Schizosaccharomyces pombe: one gene and its partners. Changing the gene in region 2 together with the main gene of any one other region gives a genetic interaction. Each region holds a gene or a part of one and is shown on either strand. Other genes may lie near its edges. The genes, in order: mag1, hst4, hst2 and ppc1.

Region 1 (5,601 bases), 760 kb from region 2:
TTATTTTCCTAACCACCCCCCTATGCTTGCAGTAAAATTTATCGGCCATTTTTCTCCATGGACTCCGTTATACAGTACTTCTGCAATACAGGCGCCGATATTCGCCATAAAATGAGTTATACGATTAGTAGATTTTTGATATGATGGGCTTGTATTAGCCCTAAATTTGAAAGTATATAAAGGCCAGTTTCACTGTCTTAGAACCGTAGCTACAAGAAATTATGAAAAGTGTTGAATGGTTTACATGGGGAGTTTTTCTGCTACTTTCTGGCTTTGGAGAAGCTGGGAGGATGGGCTTGGGCTTTCAGGAGAAGAATCCAGTTTTCGTAAAGGAAAAACAATCACCATTCTATGCTGTACCTAGTAACTATGAGGAAGTAGAATTCTCAAGTATAGTCGAACCTATGTATTCAGGGATTGCGACGTTTGGTCGTTTGGAGAATGTTGAATGTTTGAGTAAAAGGTCAGAGGACTTTGATATTGCCTTTATAGGAATGCCTTTCGATACAGGCACTTCTTACCGCCCTGGTGCTCGATTTGGTCCAAGCAGTTTGCGTGAAGGATCTCGACGCATAAATACTAAATACGGTGCAGTGAATGTACCTCTTGAAATCAATCCTTTCAAATCATGGGCAAAGCTTGTGGATTGTGGAGATATTCCAGTCACCACGTATGATATTCTTAAAGCTATGGATCAGTTAGAAAGTGCATATTTCCAGCTAATAGCTCGAAAGCCCTCCAGTTTTACTGACCATGATGGATTTGCAAAAAATGATACTGTGCTTCCTCGAGTCCTTTCACTCGGTGGTGACCATACCATTGTCCTTCCCATCTTACGAGCTTTGCATCGTGTTTACGGACAACCTATTTCAGTTATTCATTTCGATAGCCACTTAGACACGTGGGCTCCTGGATTGATTGGCGATGGCGATGAAGCAGATGGAATAAACCATGGTTCTTATTTCTACTTTGCTAGTCAAGAAGGTATTATGAGCAAAGATGCCAACATTCATGCTGGCATTCGTACTCCTATCTCTAGTTTCTCTGACTACGATGATGATGTTGATTGTGGTTTCAAAATCATTGAGGCTCGTGAAATTGATGATTTGGGGATTGATGGTATCGTCAAAAAGATTCGTGACAGAGTTGGTGATAATTTGGTATATTTATCCATTGATATTGATGTGCTTGATCCTGCATTTGCACCCGCTACGGGTACTCCTGAAACTGGCGGTTGGTCATCTAGAGAAATGAGAGCAATTTTACGTGGTTTGCAAGGTCTGAAATTCGTAGGCGCTGACCTTGTCGAAGTAGCTCCCGCTTACGATGTTGCAGAAATAACATCCTTGGCTGGTGCGCAATTGTTATTTGACATTGTATCTATGATGGTGAAATATCCTTTGGTAAAAGAGGCTGATTTATCTCGTTACATGCCAATACATAAATAATTGAAATAACTGGTTTATTTAATATTCAATATTTATATCGACATCATAGATACAGATACAGAAATGAGCATGTTCAAAAAAAATCATTATTCATTATATTATTAACATATCATACGCAAGTATATCGTTAGAGACAGCTGAGCGTCATCTATCTTGTATCACATAAAGTAAAAGACAAATGTAGCAGAAACGGGTTTTCTTAACCACCCAAGAGTGTTTTGTAAATATTTGCAAATGAACCCATTAAAACATCTCATCTCCCTTTTGTTATTTTTGCCATCATTCACCAAAAAATCACTTCTTTTATATAAGCGTAATGTGACGAAAATGCTTCGTCTGAGTGGACGTAGACATTCTATTCAGAAATGATTGAAAAGATACTATAAATTGGTAAACCAAAAATAAAAAGAAGCGTACATAAAATGTAAAAGACCAACCAGGAATAAACTTATCGAATTCAACTTTTTACTTTTAAATATATAATACATCTGTCCTTCAGTGTTTCTTCGGCCTAACAGGCTTTGTATAATCGGCAAGTTTTGACGTTTTCCAGAGATACCATGCTGCTGCAGTACGAAAAGGTGCACATATTTCACTATGCTTAAGAACATACATCTTGGTTGGAATTTTTGGTAATCGGTGTAGATATCGGTATCCATTACGAATACTCAAATCGTCAGCTGGCATAACATCATCACGATTCAACGAAAAGATGAGTAACATTTCTACTGTCCATCTTCCGATTCCTTTAATCTGAGTAAGTCGTTCTATCAATTCTTCATTTGAGAGCCTTTCAGCTTCTTCTTTAGTAGGAATCAAACCGCTGATTGTTGCCTCAGCAATGCTTTTTAATGAATCAATTTTACGAGCTGAAAATCCACAGGCACGCATTATTTCAAAATCCATATCACGAATTTCCTCTGGTGTTGGAAATTGGCCATTGTTAGAAATACTTTTAAAGCGATTGAAAATTGCGTTAGCAGCTTTACTATGCAATTGTTGAGATGCTACCGCACGAATTAATTCTTCATAAGGCTCTTTTTTCTCCATACTTCGATTGGGTCGATAATTACCAACGAGCTTCACGAGCCGTTTCCAATTCTCATCCAATCCAGAAAGATGGATTTCTGCTTTTGTGAGTGAAGTGACTATCTCTTCTTTCTCTTCAATGTCCAAAGTCATAATAGCAAAGATTCAATTGATCAAAAATTTATCACTCATTATGTGCTTTTGACTAAACGGTAAGGGTTTTCATTCCTTAGGAATTGCACTGCAATTCGTTATTTATGTAAGCAAGTCCTAAGCTAAAAAAAAGGAATCTTGAAGCAAATTCAACATTCTTAGATGTAATTTGAAACTTCAATTAAATTTTCATCTGGATCGCGAAAATAAATAGAGAGGATAACTCCTTCAGCTCCAGCCCTTGTAATAGGACCTTCTTCTATGAGAACATTTTGCTTTTTTAAGTGAGCAATGACTTGCTCTAAGGGTGTTTTAGCTATTAGGCAAATATCATTTGACCCAGGAGTCAGTATGTGTGATTTTGGGTCAATCTCATTACCCTTTTGATGCAAGTTGATTTTTTATGACCGAAACCGAGTGCCTTGCGATTGTTTCCAAATGCGATAACCGACATTCCTAATGTGCGCTCATAGAACTCACAGGTGGCTTCTACGTCTTGGACAGTGAAAACAATATGGTGGAAACGATCAATTTATATAATATCTTTTTCCATTAGTTAGTATCAAAGATCTTTTATAGATGTAAAATGTTGTAAAGGAGAGTCAGAGGAAACTAACCACTTCCGTTAAACAAGTAACAACTCTTCGACCTTAGAGTATATGACAGATTAAAGAAATATTGGGCGTTCAATAAGGCATAAAATGGATAAAACGATGGAATAGCTATAAAGAAAGCATAGTGTTTTAAGAATTATTCATCCACCTTACTAAGCTTACTTTCTCTAATTAGCATTGACGTTGAACATAAAGAAGCTTTGCAGTTGTCTTCATAATACAATTGAAGTAACTATACGCCTTAATTTACAATGACAGAAGTATGGAGATGAATATTGTTATATAATCTTAACACGTATAAAATGGATAAATGCGCTATGAAGGGAATGGGATAAACATTAAGTCTTAATTTGTAAAACAGTAGATTAGTAACTGGAATTGTTCTCAATATACCTTTTATAGCATTTCAAAAGTAACTTCAAAGATAAAAAATATCACAAAAGTTATCAAACTCCAACTTTGAGGAAGCTTTTGATAGCTTAAGGGTATGCTTTTGAATTTAAAACATTACTTTTGTTAAATCTCCATTGCGAGATTTTGTCGAATATTTCATCCGGATCACAATTATCTAAACTGTTCTACGTGACTTTTAGCGCTAAAGTCATATTCTATGTATTACGAATCTTTATTGATCAATGAAGCTTCTTAAAGCCGTTATAAGTTGATTTATCAACCATTTCAAAGCTTCTGGTGAAGATTTTGGCCCGACATTATGTGTAGCTCCCGGTATGATGCCGCTTAAGGAACTATTAGAAGTTGTAGGACGAATTGATTCGCGAAATCGGTTCAGTAATTGTGCTTTATCAGTTGATGGCGAGACGAACTCGTCCCTTTCCGACATAAGCAGTATCAACTGACTATGTGCTGTGGAGCCGGAGATTTCTTTGAGATTACCAAAAGTTTTAGCGAAATCATCGGCGCTCAGGTCAGAGGAGAAAAAGTCATCATTTCCGCGGACATCTGTCAAGTCAATGCATCGATTTGCAGATGTCGGAACTTCACCAAAAAAATTCTCTACCTTGCTTCTAGGTAAAACATCATTTCCTAGTCCTTTGTCAAGATATTCTGCTTTAACCCAGTCAACCAATTCCTTTGTTTTTTCTTTCCCGTTAAATTGATACGCGGCTTCTCTATCCGATACTGGAGCTTGTGCTATTCCGGCGATTAAGTAGTTTGGAAGAATGGACTGTGTAAGATAGTATAGTACATTCTGCGATCCCGTGGAATGTCCCATCAAAACGATTTTGCGAGTAGAAAAGTCCGCGCCTCCAATGTGCAAAAAATAGTCCACTGCCTTGTGTAAATCCTCGTCATCTCGTTTCAAACTTCCCGTTCCCCATCCTATATACGAGGACTGAGTTTGAACCTGTACAATACTCCAACCAATTTCATCTAATGGATTGACCAGTTCTTGAACATATGGTACTGTCAAAAGACCATCGCCAAGTCCCCCGACAAATAACAATAATGATCGAGTTACGTTGGATGTAAGTGTAACGTTACTTTTTCCAACTAGCTCGAAAGCAACAAGCCTTTCTGTGTACTCATGGAGAATACCAGGATGCGAGGCTGACATCGTGCAATAAATAAAAGAATCAAATTTTTAGATGTTGAAAGTTGAATAATTTTCGCCTAACCTTACAAAGTAGATATTCATACGATGCTCAAATACGAGATATGAGCAAGGATTATATCTTATCCATTATCAGCAAAACAACAACTAAGCTCACTATTTTGATCGCGTGCTTTATAATATAATTACAATCCGGTTTACAATCAAGTTTAAGATATGATTATAGAAATCTCATATAGAAGGATTGAATTAGTAAATTTAGGTATTGAAGCTTGGAGTTGATTGTACAAAAGTTAATCAATTCAAGAGTTTAAGGCGTTCGAAACTATTTGCTTAGTATTTTCCAAAAATTATTGTTTATAGATCATTCAGCTACTATAAAGTACGAATTTTGCAATTCCTTCTTTTGCTTTTGCTTTATGTAGCTTTCCATAAACCACTATGGATTTCAAATAATGATGGTCGCAGTTGGAACGAATTCACAAACCCAGCTTGGTAAAATGATTAATGAGAAAGAGATATATCGCTCTAAATGAAAGTTGGATAACATTATTACTAGCAGAAAAGTGGATATGTGCGATAATACAAGTTTAAAGATGCATACAATGGCAATTAACGATTTGAGTGGTGTCAATTTTGATTTGTATGATGTATCCAATCGAAAAAGATTGAGTAAGTTATATCTTGTACTGAACATCATAAAATTGCAATTAGACGAAAATACAGTAAACGTTTATCTACTCACTACAATTACTACTACTGAGAGAATACATTACAATAAACC
Region 2 (5,963 bases):
TTCAATATATACTCATAGGTCGTAAGTAGAATGTTAAATTTAAGCTTGCGAGAATTCGTAGAAAGGTAGAATTCATACTCTCTAATATTAGCACGAGATTCCGTATTACCTGTATAGCAAATACTATTCAAATCAGGTGTCCAATTGGCCAATGTTTCTTGCCAAGCCGGAACAGTGGAAAGCGGTACGACAATAAGGAAAGGACCGTGTTGTTTTAAAGAATGGACTAAATAAGATAAAAAGCACACAGTTTGCACGGTTTTACCCAAACCCATTTCATCTGCTAAAATACCATTTTCATTCCGGTGCCATAAATATGCCATCCAGTTTATACCAGTAAGTTGAAAATCACGGATTTCCCCCCCTTTAATGTAAGATGGTTGCTTTTCTAACTTGCGGTACGGGGGACGGGTGTTATAGAAAACACCTTTATAAGGGAGATACGGACTGTTTTCACGTTGCAAGAATTGATAAACTTCATTTGGTGCCATAGAATAAATTACGTCGGCATCTTCCCATGTGCAATTATCATAAGGAAGCTGCCTCCACTTTACAAAGTATTCTGTTTTTCCTTCTTCGTTAGTTTCAGAAGCTACTATGCGTTCGACAATTTTATACTCTTCAAAAAGCATATTTTTACGTTCGCGTTCAATATCCAGAGCTTCGATATCTTCAAAGGTTGTAGTTGGATCTTCACGAATCTCGCGATCATAAATGATGTTTTGCTTTATATAATTGTCGACTTTTTTGTAGCCCCTCACAGAAGAAAGCGTAGAATAATCTTCCCAAGTATTATGAAGATGGGAAACTTCCTGCCATTTAATTAAATACTGATAGCTAGACTTCGGGTCATCGTCTTGTGCATCCGCTCGCTTTCGGTGATTTAAAACGAAATCAATAATAGGCTCATATTCCTCTTCGACCTGTTCTTCTACTTCCTCTTCTTCGTCCTCGAAGTCGTCGTAAAATTCTTGTTCATTGTAGTTGACGCTTTTACCTTTTGAAGATCGCAATGAAGTACGGATTTCGGTTCCGGAAGCAGAGTTAATACTGAATCTATGTCTCTTATCATATGCGTCTTCATCATCGCTAGCCACAGACTTTTTTTGCTTTGGTGCAGGTTTGCTCTTTCGTTTTTTAGGAATCGGAATTTCATGCTCGTCAATTTCAGTATAAGAGAAATCACGATAAACGGGTCGTTTAGCCCTTGAAGAACGTCTTGTACCATCTACTCTAACATCGTCAGAGTTTTGCGCATCGTCAATTTTAGGGGTAGACAAAGCAGAAGATACAACTGTGCTATTAGCAGTGCTGGTTACGATTTCAGAATCATCAAAGGCAGAAGACGATAAAGATTGCTGCGAAGCGAAAGAATTTTCATGATTTAACAGGCCATTCATGCTAGGTAGAGAATTTGTTGTATTTCCAAACTGAGGATCAGTTACTGCAGAGCCATTTAAAGTAGACTCTTGAACGCTCGTAGGATGATTTTTTAAATCATAATTCGAATGTTCAGGCTCCATTCTTGTTACTCCAGAAAATTTATATAATGTTAAATGTTGAGAACGTCCACAAAGTAGGCGCTCCTTTGCAGACTCTCTTTTAAAAGCTTAAAATGCTTTTTTTTAAATATATATCTGGATATTAACAGTGAAGCAACAAAGGATTAATAGGAATAAGCAGTATGCCTATAAGGCTATTAATTGAAATTACTATGTTGTTGGCAGAAATTAATAGTGCAAAAATATGCAACACTATAAATGAAATGCCAGGCAATGCAGGTGATTTTGGTATCAAATTACTTCTCCAGAGTCCCTTTTTATTAATAAAATTTACCTTTTGAGAAGGATTCACTATTTTTACTCATGCAATTTCCACTCTCAATTTTTGCGAAAATGCAAGACCTTTACAAACAAAAAAATCCTTTGCCATAAAATGTACGAGCTATTCTCATTCACTCCATGGAAATTAAGTTAGCTTACAATTTTCATTTCCGGTTCGTATTTCCGAGCAAGTCTGCAGATTTTATTTCATTTTCAAATTAACTGTGCAAAACGTGAAGGCAAATTCGTATTTCATAAAATGCTTCAGTTCGCATGCTTTTATTAAATTTAAAGATCATTAATTTCAAAAAATTTCTATATATTTTATTGTTTACTATCCCATAACGTTAAATAGTTTACACAAAAACGTCGAAACTTTTCACATAAACGTATGCTTCTTTGTTTCAATTGTTCATGAAAACATAATGTATTTATTTACTTCTTTAATTACAATTGAGAGGGGAATCGAGACAGAGAAAACAATAGTTTCTGAAAGAAATAAACTAATTAAAAATTTGACCGATTGGTTTTACTAAATTTTTTTAACTGCATGGATATTTTACCAAAGATTCAAAGATATATTTATTGGTTTTGTTATTTTTTTGAGAATTTTATGAAAGACTTCACCTTCCAACTTTTTCAATTAAATGTCAAGGAAAAATACTGTACTTAAAACTCTTGAAAGTTTTCCCAATATTTAAGAAAATGGAACTTCAATTGTTTTTTTAAATTTTTGCAATCCCTTTTTGTTTTAATATTTTTATTACCAGTTTCTGTATATATTTATTTATTTCATTTGACTATTTAGACAATTTATATATTGATAGAAGGAGAAATCTCAGAAGGATTATTGAAGACTTAATTTTATTCTTTTTATTAATGTCAGCATGAAAGCTGATTTTCTAGTCTGAACATTTTATTAAATGGGTAAAAACAAAAAAATCAGTACTCTAAATAAACATTGGTTCAACGGCATTTTTAAAAGTGAATAGAGAAAAAAATTGCGATTACTGTTATACAAAGACATGGCGAAATTGAGTCTTTCAAGCGATATAATTGTCCTTCAACGGCCTTTCGAAACGTACGTAGACACAACCGCCTAACCGTCAATCACAACTTAATTCCTCAACCATTCCATTTTAGGAAGAAGTCGAAGAGTTCAATGATTTTAATATATTTTAATTAATGCACTCAACTTTTTGGATTTAAAAAATTCCAAATTTACGTAGCTTAGTATGAAAGTGGAGGAGCACGTCCCTCTAATACAGGAGTCGAGGAAGAGAAAATGCCAATCTTCTGAAAATGCTTCGAAAAGGCAGCAATTACTTTCCAAGCTTCCACTTAGACTTCATACAGGCAATGAAAATGTCGATTTATCTCCTTTAGTTTCTGCCATTCGCAAGGCAAAGCGCATAGTCGTTGTTACTGGTATGTTGCTTATTTATGGTTTTCCTTCTTTTATTTTAACTTTTCACTTAAAAAAAAAGTGGGATTAAAAAAAAAATTAAATATTATAATCGTACAAAGGCTCATTTACTAATACGTTTAAACAGGTGCTGGAATTTCTTGTGATGCTGGAATTCCTGATTTCCGTTCCTCTGAGGGTCTTTTCTCCTCCCTTCGTGCGGAGTATAAATTGAACTGCTCCGGGAAGGAATTGTTTGATGGATCTGTTTACAGAGATCTTAAGAGTGTTAACATCTTTCACGCAATGATTAGAAAGCTACATATGCTTTCTAATAATGCACGCCCCACTGATTTCCATTTATTTTTATCTCAACTAGCCCAAGAATCTAAGCTGTTACGTTTATACACACAAAATATTGATTTTTTAGAAACCAGACTCGAGGGCCTTCAAACATGTATTCCATTGCCGCAGTCTGCCCCTTGGCCTACCACGATTCCTCTTCACGGGACACTGGAAGTTGTAAGTTGCACAAGGTGCAGCTTTTTGAAAAAATTTAATCCAGATATATTTGATAGAAATGGTGTTACTGTTTGCCCTGACTGTAAAACCGAGAACGAGGTTCGTCGTATAGCAGGAAAAAGATCAGTTATCGAGGGTTGCCTTCGTCCTCGGATTGTTTTGTACAATGAGATACATCCGGATTCCGAATCTATTGGTTCGGTCTGTTCACAAGATTTAAAGTCCCGCCCTGACTGTCTAATTGTTGCTGGTACTTCTTGTAAAATCCCTGGTGTCAAAAGAATTATCAAGGAAATGAGCAACTGTGTGCATAAACAGAAGGGAAATGTTATTTGGTTGAATTATGACGAACCTACGAAAGATTTTTTGAACTTATGCGACCTGGTTGTACAAGGAGACCTTCAAATTGCTATTAGACGTCTGAAGCCTTTATTAGATGCTCCAAGTTGGAAACTCAAGTCCCATTCTGCCAAAAGAACTTCAAAACAAAAATCTTCCGAACAAACAAAGATTACTTCTTCCACTAAAATTACGAAAGCTATTGGCTTGAACACGAAAAGCAATGATAGTTCTAAGAAAGATAACACTTCTTTTCAGTTGCACCAAGTGCTCAATAGTATTGAAATACCCAAGGTGGAAATTAAACAAGAAGTTGAATATGCAACCCCTTCTCCGCTTTAACATTTAGCTTCAATAAACCATGTTAAAAATATCAATTTATCCTTCTTACCCCAAATGAGGTTTAAATAATGCCTGTAATAATAGTAGTGAACCTTCTCTGAATCCGAAAAGCGATACAAATTCCGAAAAACGTTTGTCTAATTGATTAAGCAACTTTGATGTGATGCTTACAATTTTTTCATTTTGATTCTTTAGTATATAAGAGATGCAGTAATTAGGTTGTACAAAACCAAGATCATCAAATTTTATCTCATAAAGTATTGTAATTTTGTAAAAGGAATTTTGAACATAGAAACATTGAGCGTCCATGTTTGCTGATGCCACTTTTTTCATATGCTTTGATAAATAAAACCACGTATTGCAGCGATATGAGTAATGGTGGGCAAATAATGAGAACGCTCTCAAAAGAGCTACTATATCGAGACATTGTATTGCAGAGTCCGAAAAACTACTGAGCTCTTTTCTAGCAAAATGCGGGATTTTATAAGTAATAAATAAAAGAGCATAATCGATTGTTCGGACCTTAATTTCTAGTAAAAATTTGAAGCTTGGGAGATATTCTATATCTCCTTTAAGAGAATGATGAATGATTTTCTCGGATTCCGCTTCAAATTCATGTTGTGTGAAACGAATGGATGATATGGACGAATTCAATTTAACATGTTTTTTGGGTTCAGCAGATGGCATAACTTGCTTTGTTTTAGGATTATCAGGGTTTTCGGTATTATAAATTACTACAGAGGAATCAATCTCTAATAATGATTTTATAAATCCGCTTAAAAACGAATCGTCGCGTTGGTTAATTGCATTTCGTCTAACCCTCACCTCTTTCTCAAGAAGCAGGGTTTGATGTACAAGGTTACTCCTTTTGCGCAAAAGATCCATTTTTCTGTCAGTGTCTACTCTTCCGTTGCTAGATTTGGATTGTCCACTGTTTTCATTAGGCCTCGCTCGTGAATCTACGCGAGGCATGCCATTTAAAGTAGTATTTGGGCTTCGGTGAGCAACAGTACGTTTTGTCTTTTTTTGTTGCGAATCACTATCATCACTACTGCTAGATCCTTCTTGTTGAGAAATTTGACTATATCGCCTACCGGACATTTTGATATTTATAGTCGTACGCGATAATAGTATCAGTATTACTACAATTAACAATGCTCGTGCAAAAGTGTTTTAATACTTTTTATGCAACATTAATGAAAAATCCAAAATCCTCAAATGGTGGAACAAATGCATATAGTATATAGTCATGGTCAAAGCAACACTTAAACCTAGAAGTGAATCTTAGTAGCTACCACTTTGAAATCACTACTTCATTTTTACGACTGAAATCCATATTACTCTACTAAAAATAATATTTGTAATATTTTATCATTTTCATTGTGAAATGGAGAAATTTACTCGCTGGAGAGGTAAGAATATGCAATACTTTAAATGCTTGATTGTTCACATAAATGTTGTTTAAATAGAACGCAAAAAAAAATAAAAGCAAAAAATAGAAGCCAATTATTTTGTATTATGATTCTTGACTT
Region 3 (6,383 bases), on a different chromosome or scaffold from region 2:
GTAACTGACTTCAGACACAACATCTTGAATGTTATCTTCAGAAGTTACCGAAGTACCTTCCATTTTAAGTTCCGACACCTTTCCTTGAGTTTCAACAACCTCCATTTCTAACCTTCTAGCTTTGCGACGCTCAGAACTTTTTTCATCTAACTGCCATAATATTCCATATCCCATAATGAGGACAGTAGGAGGTAAATAGTTTTTTTTGGCCCGAATAGCAAAACTTCCTGTTGGAAGAATTTCACCTGTTGGAGCAAGTTTCGATACCTCATCAATTCGAACCCACCATGCACTGATTACGGTCTTTGAATCCCATGCTTTAGATGAAGCCAAAGCCAAGGATCCAGCTTGTTGTAGAGTATTAGGGGGAATAGGATCATGAGGATTTTTGTTTTTTACAATAATTATCGAAGACTTTGGCAAATCTGCACAAACAAAGATATCACCTGTGTTGCAATACTTTTGGAAAAGTAATTCATTTTGCTGGGCATCACGGCCTCCCAGAACTAGATAACCTTCCGAAGAAATAAACCAATGAAACTTTTCAAAAAAGAATGTCTTTCTACCAAGGAGAATACGTTGTGTATCTGCAGTAGTAGAGCGCTTCAAATCCTGTTCAATCTTGCGTTGGGTGCTTTTCAGGGCTTTTGAGGCTGCCTCCGCAGTCTTTGTTTCTTTAATTAAAGCTTCTCGACGTAATTCATACTGTTTACGCGCATTTGCAAAGGCGCCAAGAGATAAATCCAATTCAACGGCAATAAACTTTGACGAAACTTTTCCTTCCTTCACTTTATTATCATCATCAGAATCATCCAAATCATCATCGCTGGTTTCTGAACTTTCATCAGAATTATCTACAGACTCTGGATTAGGAAGAAAAACGGTAACGGCGTTTTTTATAAGTTTAAGGGGAATTTGAATAGCAGCAGCTACCGGACTTCTTCTTTTTTGAGATTGAATTAACTTTTCAATATCTAACCAATCCATTCCTTGGTTCAACAGAGAGTTAATGTATGAGATAATAGCCTCAACAAGTTCAGGGTTCATCTCAATTGCCTGAGCCCTCAACGCACAAGTAGCTTGGGCATCTTGTAAACTTTGAAGTTTTCGTGCTTGATCCTCTTTAGCCGATTCAAGCCTTCGCTCAGCTGTCGCTAGGCGATCATGTGCTCGTTTTTTTAGCTTTTGTGCTTCGATAGAAGAGAAAAACTCGTCAACGCATTCGTTATAGGTTGGAAACTCCATGCACTTTCTGTTTGCCTGAACGAGCTGTAAAGGCTGAAAAGGGTGAAAATCTTCGTATAATGTAGTACATTCTTCAGGGTGTTGAGGATCAGCAGCATTTGTTAGTGCTTGCTCCAGTGAAAATATATAACCCTTTACTGGGGGCTTATTAACTGCAGCTAATATGGAGTCGGCTTCTTGAAAAGCAGCTAATAAATCGTTTTTCTTGGTTTCGTCTGCACAGAGCTGGCAAGCAGGGAATAGTGGATCTAATTTTGAACGCCGAAGACAGTGCTCTATAAGTGCATTACCATATTCACCTAATCTTATAGTCAATGCTTTTCTAAGAGAAACTGGTTTGGGTACTTTAATCGGCTTTGTAGAAGAGGATAGTTGTTGGTCAGGTAAAGGTTCGTTAATAGAAGTAGGAGAAGCATAAGCAGTGCTTATTTCATCCAAAAGGATATTTAATCGTTCAGCTGTCATATGAGGAATAGTAGACTGAGATTTATTGTCATTAACGAGATTATTTTTGTCTAAATTGTACTTTTGCCCTACGGCATAAACTTGGTCTTTATCGAAGGTGACCACTCGTAAAAGAGACAGAATCTTGTAATGGCCGTCTAATAGTAAAACATTTCCAGCAGCGAAAAATTCACAAACCAGATAGTACGTCCAATCGGGGTCTTGATCATTCGCACCACCTCCAAATGTGAAAACGAGTACTCGATCAGTACCCAACTGAGAGACACCAGTTAACCTTCTAGATTTTATATGTTTTCGTAGCTTCGTTACAAACCCAGACAAAGGGGCATTTTCTCGATCAAATTTTGTTAAATGAGCACGAAACCCACTTTCAATAACAATAGAATATTTTGCATCCTTTAACGGGTTAGTAAAAAAATATTTATTACTTTCTACACATACTTGTTTACCAAACTTCAACAAGAAGGTACGCGCATTTAGATCATAAAAGTTATTCAAGCGACACCCAACCACTTGTTCTCGTAATTCCGCAGCAATCGCAGCAATATCTAAAGCGGAAAATCTTTGCTTCATTTACGTCTATAACACCTATCTAAATGAATTTCTGCGTTACAACAAAATGAAGTATAGGCTCTAGTTAGAATGTAAACATGTGTATAACGTAAGTGAAACTGAAGCACTAACAAAGCGCAATGATATCCGCAATATGTAATAAGGAAAATTATAGCACACCATTGCACCATAAAACGGTGTACATTAGCAGCATTAAAATTCTTAGCGCAAATTTGGATTGTTCTCTCAAATTCATTATTTCTTTCCCGACGATGATTCTTTAATCGTACATTTATAGTCGTACATGACACTGATTATAAAGATAAAAAATAGTTAACTAATGATAAACTTATAAAAAACTTTGACACCTAATATGTCAAACTGGTGTGACCAACCCAATAAGTAAAACCAGAAAGTCAAGAGTTATCGTTGCTGAATCTAATCAAGTGAGCCGAAAGTTGATTAATCATAATTTCTGATTACCCCGTATCTCATTTTTTCAACGACATCCAGAAACTCTTAATTGAAAAAGATGGCTCTAAATGTTTACCAAATAACGAGTACTAAAGTCGAATACAATAGCCTTTTAAACAGTATAATGCAGTTTAATGGAGCATCGGTAATGGCGTTTGATATTTTCAACGAGTAAATAATAATGGAAATTTGGCGTACCCACAAACTTTGTGCATTAACATATTGATTTGTTCATATCTGAGAATTTTAAGTGATCCAATTTTTGAAAGAGTTTGAGTTGGGATTTTTAAGGTAAATCGATTATTGGCTTGCTTTGGTTGTTCTCAGAAATTCGACAATGGTGAAAAACACTGTTAAACACGTCGACTCTTCCAAGCATTTAGAGAAAGTTGCATCCTTAATCAAAGAAGGAAAAGGTAATGACTTTTAATTTTCTTTCCTTGACCATACTAATGCGATTTTATCGAAAATAGTAAAGAAAATATGTGTTATGGTTGGTGCAGGGATCAGCACTGCAGCAGGAATCCCTGATTTTCGAAGCCCTGAGACTGGAATTTACAATAATTTACAAAGATTTAATCTTCCTTACGCAGAAGCTGTTTTTGATCTATCTTATTTTCGAAAAAATCCGCGTCCATTCTACGAATTGGCTCACGAATTGATGCCTGAAAAGTATAGACCAACTTATACTCATTATTTTATACGCCTTTTACATGATAAAAGGTTACTACAAAAATGTTATACCCAAAATATTGATACCTTGGAGCGTTTGGCAGGTGTGCCTGACAAAGCTCTGATTGAAGCACATGGCTCTTTCCAATACAGCCGCTGTATTGAATGTTACGAAATGGTAAGGATTGTTTTTGAAAAAGTTAAAGTGAAAAAGCAGAAATTGGTTTTACTGACGGAAAACAAAGGCGGAAACGGAGTATGTTAGAGCATGTATTATGCAAAAACAGGTCCCTAAATGCAACAGTTGCAAAGGTCTCATCAAACCAATGATTGTGTTTTATGGCGAGGGATTACCAATGCGTTTCTTCGAGCACATGGAAAAGGACACAAAAGTCTGTGATATGGCACTGGTAATTGGAACAAGTTTACTTGTTCATCCATTCGCGGATTTGCCTGAAATAGTGCCAAATAAATGTCAACGAGTTTTGATTAATCGAGAACCAGCTGGCGACTTTGGGGAGAGAAAAAAGGATATCATGATATTGGGGGATTGTGATTCCCAAGTACGTGCGTTATGTAAACTATTAGGATGGTCTGATGAATTGGAAAAGTTGATTGATACGAGTGTTGAAACGCTGACAGAAGAAATATCTTTACTTTCTGTTGACTCTACAATAGAAAAGAATGCCTCTGAACAAAAGAAAGACGATAACTCGGTCAATCCTTTCACTAAAATAGAGGAGAAGAAAAAAGACGAGGTGACGCTGTTAGTTTCTGATGATGAATAGTTCAGTTATTCGGGAAATTTTCTATATTGTCATGATTAAAACTAGGAGATCCCTATATTTATTATACTAAGAAAACGGAAATTCACGATTCGGTTTGATGAATATTTGAATCTACACATACGATTCGTTTTCTTTTAAACAAGTTTAAATACTTTTTTTTATTTCAGCAATTTTATAATATTTCCTTCCAGGCGTCCTTTTGATTGCCTCTTAACCATGAATCATATTGCTCTCTTTATGAGTTGTATGCTGGGTTAAACTAATGCGAAAAGGATAACAAAAAGGGGGTTCTGTATACGATCTCGATCAAACTCATGAAGATGCCCTCGCATTTTCGTGAAAATAACTTGCATTTTTTTTAAAATTGGCGTCCATCTATATACGCAATTTGGGTTATGAGAAAGTTGCGCTAGAATAATTGATAATGGTTTCAAATTTACTGCACTGTAATCTAATACAATCTTTGTCGAAACCTTTTTTCTGTTCAGTTTGGAACATATAGTTCTGAAATGGGAGATTATTCATTTTCATTTAATAAAACTTTGAATTATCCAAGAATTGGAAATAGGAATAATTAATCAAATTGTTCTTTTTGTAGTTTCATTCAAGAATAATGCTTCCTTTGAAAAACTAAAGCGTTTTCTACGAATTGTATATTGTAACAGGGGACGGTGTATAAACCAGTTAGTCCATCATCATAACCAGTTCTGATTTGAATTTTGTTCTTGTGGTCATTATTGTTCATAAAATGAACTAGAGATGTAAAGACATAATTCATATTACAGAAAACAAGTATCTAAGCGCTTGAACAATTATCAGTTAATTTTAGAACAATTATTAAATTTATATCTATTTTATCTGCATATATCTATGTACCTTTGGGTAACTTATGAGTTGTACGAATTACTGACTACATGGCTGTCACCTCCTGTTCGGTTTGCTAAGAATTTACCGATTCTAACGCTTCCTTCTACCTAGCTATACAAGATTCATGAATTTGATCTATATGAATGCTTAGCAAATAAATAATTGTTCGAAAGCCAGATATATGATTTATAATTAACGTTTTTAGATTTGACGTCAATAGGGATCTTAGGTCTCAATTTCTTTGTTTTGCCATCTTTTTATACAGGCGTGTTAAGCGGTCTGGAAAGAATTTAAAAATAAAAGGGAATGATAAATCGTGTTATCGTTGCAATTGATCAATTCTTATCATTTTAAGAACTACTCACTTTTTTACAGTAGTTAATAAAAGTTCATTTGTAATCTTTATCTTGATTCCTTTCGTTGAGGATCCTCTGAACAAAAGAATTGGAAATTTACACATTATAACAATGAACCCCAAGCGATTGAGGATCACCGGTCCTGAGGATTTGACTGATGCTTACGACACAATGCCGTTTCGTTGTTTAAATGGAAGCATGCCTCCTAAGACACCATTAAATTTTGTCTTTAAGGAAAATGACTCACACGTTTCAAATGGCGTAGGATTGAAAAAAGATTGCATTGAATCAATAGATGATTTGAACTTAGACGACTGGTCAGAACAACAAGAATCCATTTTGCTAATGGTATGACAAAGATGCTGAAAAGAATTAAGGAAGGAGAAGCAAACTTGGCTGCATCCCTCCTTTTTTGCACAATTAAAAGTGGCGAATTTTGAGGTGAAAACATGTTAAATCTCTCAATTCGATTTACAAAGATCCCTTCGTTATGCAAAAACATTACAAAATAACCCAATTTACTAATCAACTATTTCTGTTAGTGCTATGAGAATGAACTTCAAAAACCCATAACCTGTACTCCCATGGGCCCTATATGTTTATGGGCCCCTCCTGAGCCAGTTCTACGATCTGTGCACAATACATTATTAAAGATGGGTTGGAGCATTTCCGAGAAAAAAATGAAAAAGAAGTTGTTGGAGCTACTTGCAAAAAATAAGAAAAGAAGAACTATGAGAAAATTGGAAATTGACACCAATCTATCTTTGTACGTAAACATATCATATATGAGAGGTTCAATGTAGTAAAATTTCCATCTGTATTAACATTTTAGTCTAACCGACGTTCAACGGGATTCTCCAATTATAGAAAATGCACCTCTACAATCCCCTTTCCATTTCTAGTAGGGAATTCATTTTTCTTTTCAACTTCGCATTGTAAATGCCACTTGCGTTGTGAGAATATA
Region 4 (6,000 bases), on a different chromosome or scaffold from region 2:
TCAAAGTCCAACGGGGGTCAATTTTAAAAAGCCATGAGATGGAGAACCTTCAAAGTACATTGGGTTTTCCACCTCCTGAGATGACCTTTGGGAATAATTACATCTCAATTGAATACAAGAATCAGCCTGTAGTTGGATTTTTTACTGAAGATGCTCTTAAAATGGTTGGTACCAAACCTGAAGATGTAATGCAAGTTTCTTTTGCAAAAGACTGGGCCAAATCCAGAATTAAGCCCGGAGAAGAATACCCTGTGATTTACCCATTTGATTGGACTTATTATACTGATTATCAGGGAACTATACAACGTCCAAATGCAAAATTCATTGAAATTGATCAGGTAATACCTGTTCAAAAAATACTTAACGCAGGACAAAATTTATGGTTCAATGAGATAATTCTTTTCGAAGATGAGTTAGCAGATAATGGAAAATCAATGTTTGATGTGAGAGCTCGAGTTGTTCAGGGTCATTTAATATTGTTAGCACGCCTTGTCGTACGTTTAGACAAGGTAAATGTTCGATTGAATGAGACGAGGATATATATTGATTTGTTGAATGATTTTCTCTTGAAGGACTGCCGTAAAAAGCAAGCTACTTACGACAAAATTATTAAACAAATACCTGTGGGGGGAGACAAAGCTGCATTGCTAGATGATAACAATTGGTTAAGTGAGCGCCTTGATACCGTTGACCATAAAATCTATAAATTGAATTTTTGATGCTAAAATGATTCGCTAATGGCAGACATGAGAATTTAGAACTTTTGTCAACGAATGAGTGTTGAAGCAATTTACAAGTTTATTACGTTTAGTTCATGGTAATATTTATAATCATTTTCAACTAAGAGGTTATTAATTTAGGTTTTCTAATTGAGAAAGCAAAATAAATAGATACAATCTTTGGTACGATTAAACGGCGAAGATATACTACTGAAACTGCAAACAAATTTAAAATGGTCCAGTAAATTTTAGAGTATACTTAATTAGGAAGAATGATGGCCTCGTAATATTGATCGTTCGTTATAACATTGTATTTGGCAATCAACCTGTCACAACCTCTCTTCCCCTTTATATTGTACGACATTAATCGATCCGTTTTTTATTTCAACCCAACTCCTACGTATTTATTTGCAGGTAATAATTAATTTTATTAATTAAGAAAAGATTATCAAAAGATCCTTATCGTCATTCAGTAATGAGTCGCTGCTGTTTAAATTTGCCATTGAGACCAGCATTTGTTAAGCAGCCGGTATGGGGGAAGAGTATATACGGTCCCTTAAGAAGAAGATTTTCATTTTCTCCAATAAATGTTATTAATCATTCACCTTCGGAAACGAAGAGAAGAGACCCAGTAGAAGAACTCAGATACAAACCCCTTACACCTCCTCAAGATCCACGTAAAGTGGCTCCGCCAAATAGTTTTCTAAAGAAAATAAGTCTTATTTATCAAAAATATATCTCTCCTAAACAAAATTTATATTATGAGGCTACTGGTACTGCAAGATACATGTATTTTGAGGCTGCTCGACAAGCTACCCCCGAAAAAAACTCGCTAGGTGCTTTTGAATTTTGGTACCAGAAGTGTGAAATTCCTATGACATTTCAGTCTTGGTTTCAAATAACGCAATTACATTTGTGGATCCTCCATACTCGCATTCGTGGTTTGCCAAAAAATGAAAAAGTTGCCTTTTCACAGGCATTAACTACTCGTTTCTTTGAAGACATGGAACTCAGAATTCATAAAGATTACCGCATTAATAGCAATCGAATTTCTGGTATGTATCTGAAAGATCTGTTTCAGCAACAGACCGGCGCCATTTTTGGTTATGATCAAGGAATGCTGGGAAGTGATGCTGTTTTGGCTACATCCGTTTGGCGTAACCTTTTCGTTGGTCGCCCAGACGTCGACTTAGTAATTCTTGAGACTATTGTTAAATTTATTCGCCTCAATGTTTATCGCCTGTCATGTTTATCAACCGATGACTTTATCAATGGGAAGGGAGTACACTTCGTCCCACCTGAAGAAAGTGCACAAACAAATATTTGATTAATAAATGATTGCTACTCTAATGATTAATAAATTGACGAACGGTCATGTTTATTATGCAAAACCATGAATCTTTTTTGTAAATAATTACTTTGAAAGCTTTTACCATTACGTTAAATTGAAAAGTAATGAGGAGCTTTTGAAATATTTTATAGTAGAGAATGTTTGTCAATTTAATTGAAATCGTAGCATTATGTTGTATTGGAACTAGTATTTTAATAGCAGTTAATACCGATATTATCGATGCATTAATTAGCTACTTCTTTTCGTCTTGCTTTCCGATAAAGCTTTCTTGTTTAGCTTTATTGTATTCCGACCTGATCTGCCACTCCGATATTTCGTCTGCGCTGCATATTCCATATTAGTTACATATCCTTTTTTATACATGATTGATGAATAAGTTTCTTACGCTTTGGTTAAACAATCCTTCATCGTTTTATTTTCACTTCTACATTTCCAGGTTACGCTAAAAGTCCTGCCAGTAGCGCATTTCACAAAATCTTCAATTTCTTTCTGGCAATTTTTTTTTAATAGCTTTTGGTGCTGTTTCCGAAGATCAAATTCCTCTTCAATTGGAGATTTATTCATTTTAGATAATCAGTAAAATGTTGGTAACTAAACCACGTTACCCAACAGAGCGCAAATAAATGAAAATTTTTAGTCTTAAGTTGATTAAAACACAAACTTAAAATTTATTTTAATTTTAGCTTTTCATAAAAGACAAGCACGAGTTGAATAAAAAAAAAAGGCCTTAAGTGTAATACAATCACAAAGTGTCGCGTTTCAGTCGTTTGTGGTGTCGCTATCGTCTACATTGTTCAATAAACAGACCACTACTTGCTGAATTTACAAGCTGCTAGAGAACTGTTTGGTTAGCATTTCAGATTTTGTGAGTTCTCTAGTCCTATCATTCAGCAATAACGCATACAGTTTTTTAAACGTCGTTTGTTTATTTTTGAGCTCATCGTAAGAGAGGCATTTCTGGGTTGCGATACTCTTAGCTATTTAGAATATATGCCAGAAATGGATAAATCTAACGATTTCTTTGAGGAGAATCCTTGTCCTAACTCACTCGGTGATGTCTCAAGTCTGATTGAAGATTTTATAAACCTTCAATCAAACTCCCAAAACATTGCATTTGTTACTAGTGGCGGCACACTTGTGCCTCTTGAGCAAAATACGGTGCGTTTTATCGATAACTTTAGTGCAGGAAATCGTGGTGCAGCATCTGCTGAATACTTTTGCAAGTCTGGATATTCGGTCATTTTTCTGTATAGAAATTATAGTTTAATGCCATTTACTCGACGATATGAAGGTCCCTGGACAAATTTGTTTGAAAGAAGTAATGGCAGTCAGGAGAAGCCTTGGATTGTCAAACAAGAGTTTCAATCGACAGTATTCAATGCACTCAACGAATTAGATACATATACGAAACATCATCGACTGATAATGATTCCTTATACTACACTCACAGAATATTTGTGGTACCTGAAAGCTATAGCTGAACGTTTACAGATAATCGCTTCAAGAGCATTGTTTTATTTAGCAGCTGCTGTTAGTGATTTCCATATTCCACCGAAGGAATTGAGCGAGCACAAAATTCAAAGTGGTTCTGGAAGTAACAAATTAGAAGTCAAAATGCATCCGGTTCCAAAATTTCTGCGTTTCTTGGTTGACACATGGGCTCCTGAAGCTTCTATTATTTCCTTTAAATTAGAAACCGACCCTAGTATTCTGATTGATAAAGCAAGAGTAGCTTTACAACGTTATAACCACCAGCTGGTGATCGCCAACCTTCTTTCAACAAGGAAACGATCTGTCGCGTTTGTAACCTCAAAAACGGTTGAATGGCTTCATTTGAGCGACGATGACATTGTAAAAAAGGTAGAAATCGAGCAATACATTGTTTCGAGGGCAATTTCGTTGCACAAGGAACGAATTCAAGAGTTCGCAAAGGCACCTTAAATTATGTTTATTGACGATTAGTCGATTATGAACTTATAAAAAGTACTAGTTATGTTTCTTATCTGCTTTAACTTATATGAACTATCGGTTTTTCTTTTAAACATTTTACTCATTTATATTGTTAGGGTTTATTATGCAAACACCAGTGGTACTTTTTTATTTCTCTATCATTTTCGTCTTGTTATTTTACGAAGTTGCTTTATAGCATTTGTAGAGGGGTTTACGAAAAAAATGAAAGGCTTTATAAATTGCTAATACGAGCTATGAATTGAATCGTGTACTATTGGATCTGTTGTAATTTTTTAAAAATTGCAGCTTTTTTTTTAGATACTTATTACTGTTGTAGATTACTCAGGTCTGAAGTGTGTTAAAGAATATATTAAAAATGATGATTAGTTTATAAAAATCAATGTCAGGAGTATATAGAAAGCAAAGACTTGAATTTAAAATGCGCAACAGTTATCTTGAATGAACAAAAAATAAATAGTGAGTACCTGTAAGTAGTAAGCGTATATGATTGTTTCTAAAGCCTTCAGTTCTTTTTGAGATCCCATACTTCTTATGAGTCGCTTCAAACCCCATGACTAAAATGCTCATGTTTAATTGCAAGCTCACGTACACAAACAACGGCGATTGTTATATAGTTCAATGAAAAACCTATGAGATTTCAATTACTTTTAAAACTGTTAGAGAATCAGAATGCAAAGGTTGGCAGCTCGAAAATGTCGAGGATAAAACAAATATTTAAAAAGGCTATTATGGCTTTTACAGACATTGGTAAATAATTTTCTTTATAAATATTTTAGTAGTTTTTAATGTATATGAAGTCGCAATGGTGTAGTTGGGAGCATGACAGACTGAAGATCTGTTGGTCATCGGTTCGATCCCGGTTTGTGACACTTTTTGTAAAACAACACAAGTTTATGTAAAGAATTCTTTATACAAAACTGGAAAAAACTATAGAACAAAGCTGCAAACGTTTTTACGATAAAACTGACCTATGACTTATAATCCAGTTCCTCTGCTTCCTATTGAGACATGTTAAGACGGTTAATCATAAGATTCCATTCTGGATGAATTGCACCATTCATTAATCGTGGTTCTTAAGCTAAAAAGGAAATTATTCCGCATCAAGGGATATCGCTCTAAATTACGTTGGATAGAATGGTTTTCTGGATCAAGCGTATTTTGTTTATTAAGGATGCTGCATTAAGAACGAAATTTAGGAAAACTGTATTCACCTTGACGATTTTGAACGTGCAATTGCTCAAGTAGGTGACCGAGCATCTAAGTTTCTTATTAAATCCCAAAAAAGCCTAACGTTTGTAGCAGAATCTTGGGAAGTCGATAACAATTACATCATTCACAAGCTGTTAAAAAAAAATACTTATAACTTCCTCTTAAACCACCTGATTATCTTTACCACTTTATTATTCAACAAATTTTAAAGATCGTGAATGTTCAAGGTAAGAAATAGAAGCGATTAGTTTTTCCATAAATTAGTTTATAAGTTTTGCATCATGATTCATCAATGACTTTTTTCAATCTTTTTCTGTAAAGAACAGGAATTCACAGTGTGATCACAATCACTTTTTTAATTCCCAAAATGCTTTTTAATAATGAATTGCAAATGCGCGATTGCTTACTAAAGTCACGGCAAAATTAAAACACTCAAAGTTCAATCGTCTCAGTCGTTTGCTATGTTCGCCACGGTTATCTTGAAGCATATTGTTAAATCTTCAATAAACAAATAAACAAAAAAAACATATAGTTGATAAGGTCGCTTATTTTTTCCCGGACCAATTAAAGCAAGACCCCTTGTTTATTTAAATGTGATGAATATTAAAGCTCCAAAAAATAATTTGCATGGTTTGCCTTTTTTTAATTTTTTTATGCTTGCAGCTGAAATGTTTATTCGTATTTATTGATTTAACTAGCCTTTCAGATGACATTATAGAAATCTCATAAAATTATCTCAATGAAAAGTGG

What was found.
Region 1: mutations in hst4 (region 2) and mag1 impair growth when combined (synthetic growth defect), as found in Schizosaccharomyces pombe (one study listed by BioGRID).
Region 3: mutations in hst4 (region 2) and hst2 impair growth when combined (synthetic growth defect), as found in Schizosaccharomyces pombe (one study listed by BioGRID).
Region 4: mutations in hst4 (region 2) and ppc1 impair growth when combined (synthetic growth defect), as found in Schizosaccharomyces pombe (one study listed by BioGRID).

Annotation. Positions count from the first base shown.
Region 1 is NC_003424.3:2,952,195-2,957,795, forward strand, and holds mag1 (DNA-3-methyladenine glycosylase Mag1), read right to left. Parts: upstream 2,671-5,601; 5' UTR 2,631-2,670; coding exon 1,944-2,630; 3' UTR 1,534-1,943; downstream 1-1,533. Other genes in the region: SPOM_SPAPB24D3.03 (agmatinase), read left to right, coding at 222-1,448; SPOM_SPAPB24D3.06C (uncharacterized protein), read right to left, coding at 3,870-4,820. UniProt on the Schizosaccharomyces pombe protein: Hydrolysis of the deoxyribose N-glycosidic bond to excise 3-methyladenine or 7-methyladenine from the damaged DNA polymer formed by alkylation lesions. Can release ethylated and propylated bases from DNA in addition to 3-methyladenine.
Region 2 is NC_003424.3:2,190,577-2,196,539, reverse strand, and holds hst4 (histone deacetylase, Sirtuin family, NAD-dependent Hst4), read left to right. Parts: upstream 1-2,924; 5' UTR 2,925-3,058; coding exon 3,059-3,251; exon of another isoform or gene 3,252-3,376; coding exon 3,377-4,431; 3' UTR 4,432-4,476; downstream 4,477-5,963. Other genes in the region: CENP-A chaperone, CHD family Hrp1, read right to left, coding at 1-1,523; CENP-P family protein Fta2, read right to left, coding at 4,477-5,532; vps66 (acyltransferase), read left to right, coding at 5,819-5,843. UniProt on the Schizosaccharomyces pombe protein: NAD-dependent histone deacetylase, which contributes to both telomeric and centromeric silencing, proper cell cycle progression, DNA damage control, recombination, and genomic maintenance.
Region 3 is NC_003421.2:1,326,025-1,332,407, forward strand, and holds hst2 (histone deacetylase, Sirtuin family, NAD-dependent Hst2), read left to right. Parts: upstream 1-2,927; 5' UTR 2,928-3,073; coding exon 3,074-3,152; exon of another isoform or gene 3,153-3,154; intron 3,155-3,209; coding exon 3,210-3,586; exon of another isoform or gene 3,587-3,653; coding exon 3,654-4,196; 3' UTR 4,197-4,766; downstream 4,767-6,383. Other genes in the region: ribosome quality control complex subunit Rqc2, read right to left, coding at 1-2,106, 2,152-2,283; SPOM_SPCC132.03 (uncharacterized protein), read left to right, coding at 5,531-5,767, 5,962-6,185, 6,252-6,321. UniProt on the Schizosaccharomyces pombe protein: NAD-dependent histone deacetylase, which could function in telomeric silencing, cell cycle progression and chromosome stability.
Region 4 is NC_003421.2:1,141,102-1,147,101, reverse strand, and holds ppc1 (phosphopantothenate-cysteine ligase), read left to right. Parts: upstream 1-2,868; 5' UTR 2,869-3,060; coding exon 3,061-4,011; 3' UTR 4,012-4,486; downstream 4,487-6,000. Other genes in the region: TIP41 type 2a phosphatase regulator Tip41, read left to right, coding at 1-719; ubiquinol cytochrome-c reductase assembly protein Cbp3, read left to right, coding at 1,195-2,046; cytochrome c oxidase biogenesis protein cmc2, read right to left, coding at 2,303-2,393, 2,456-2,634.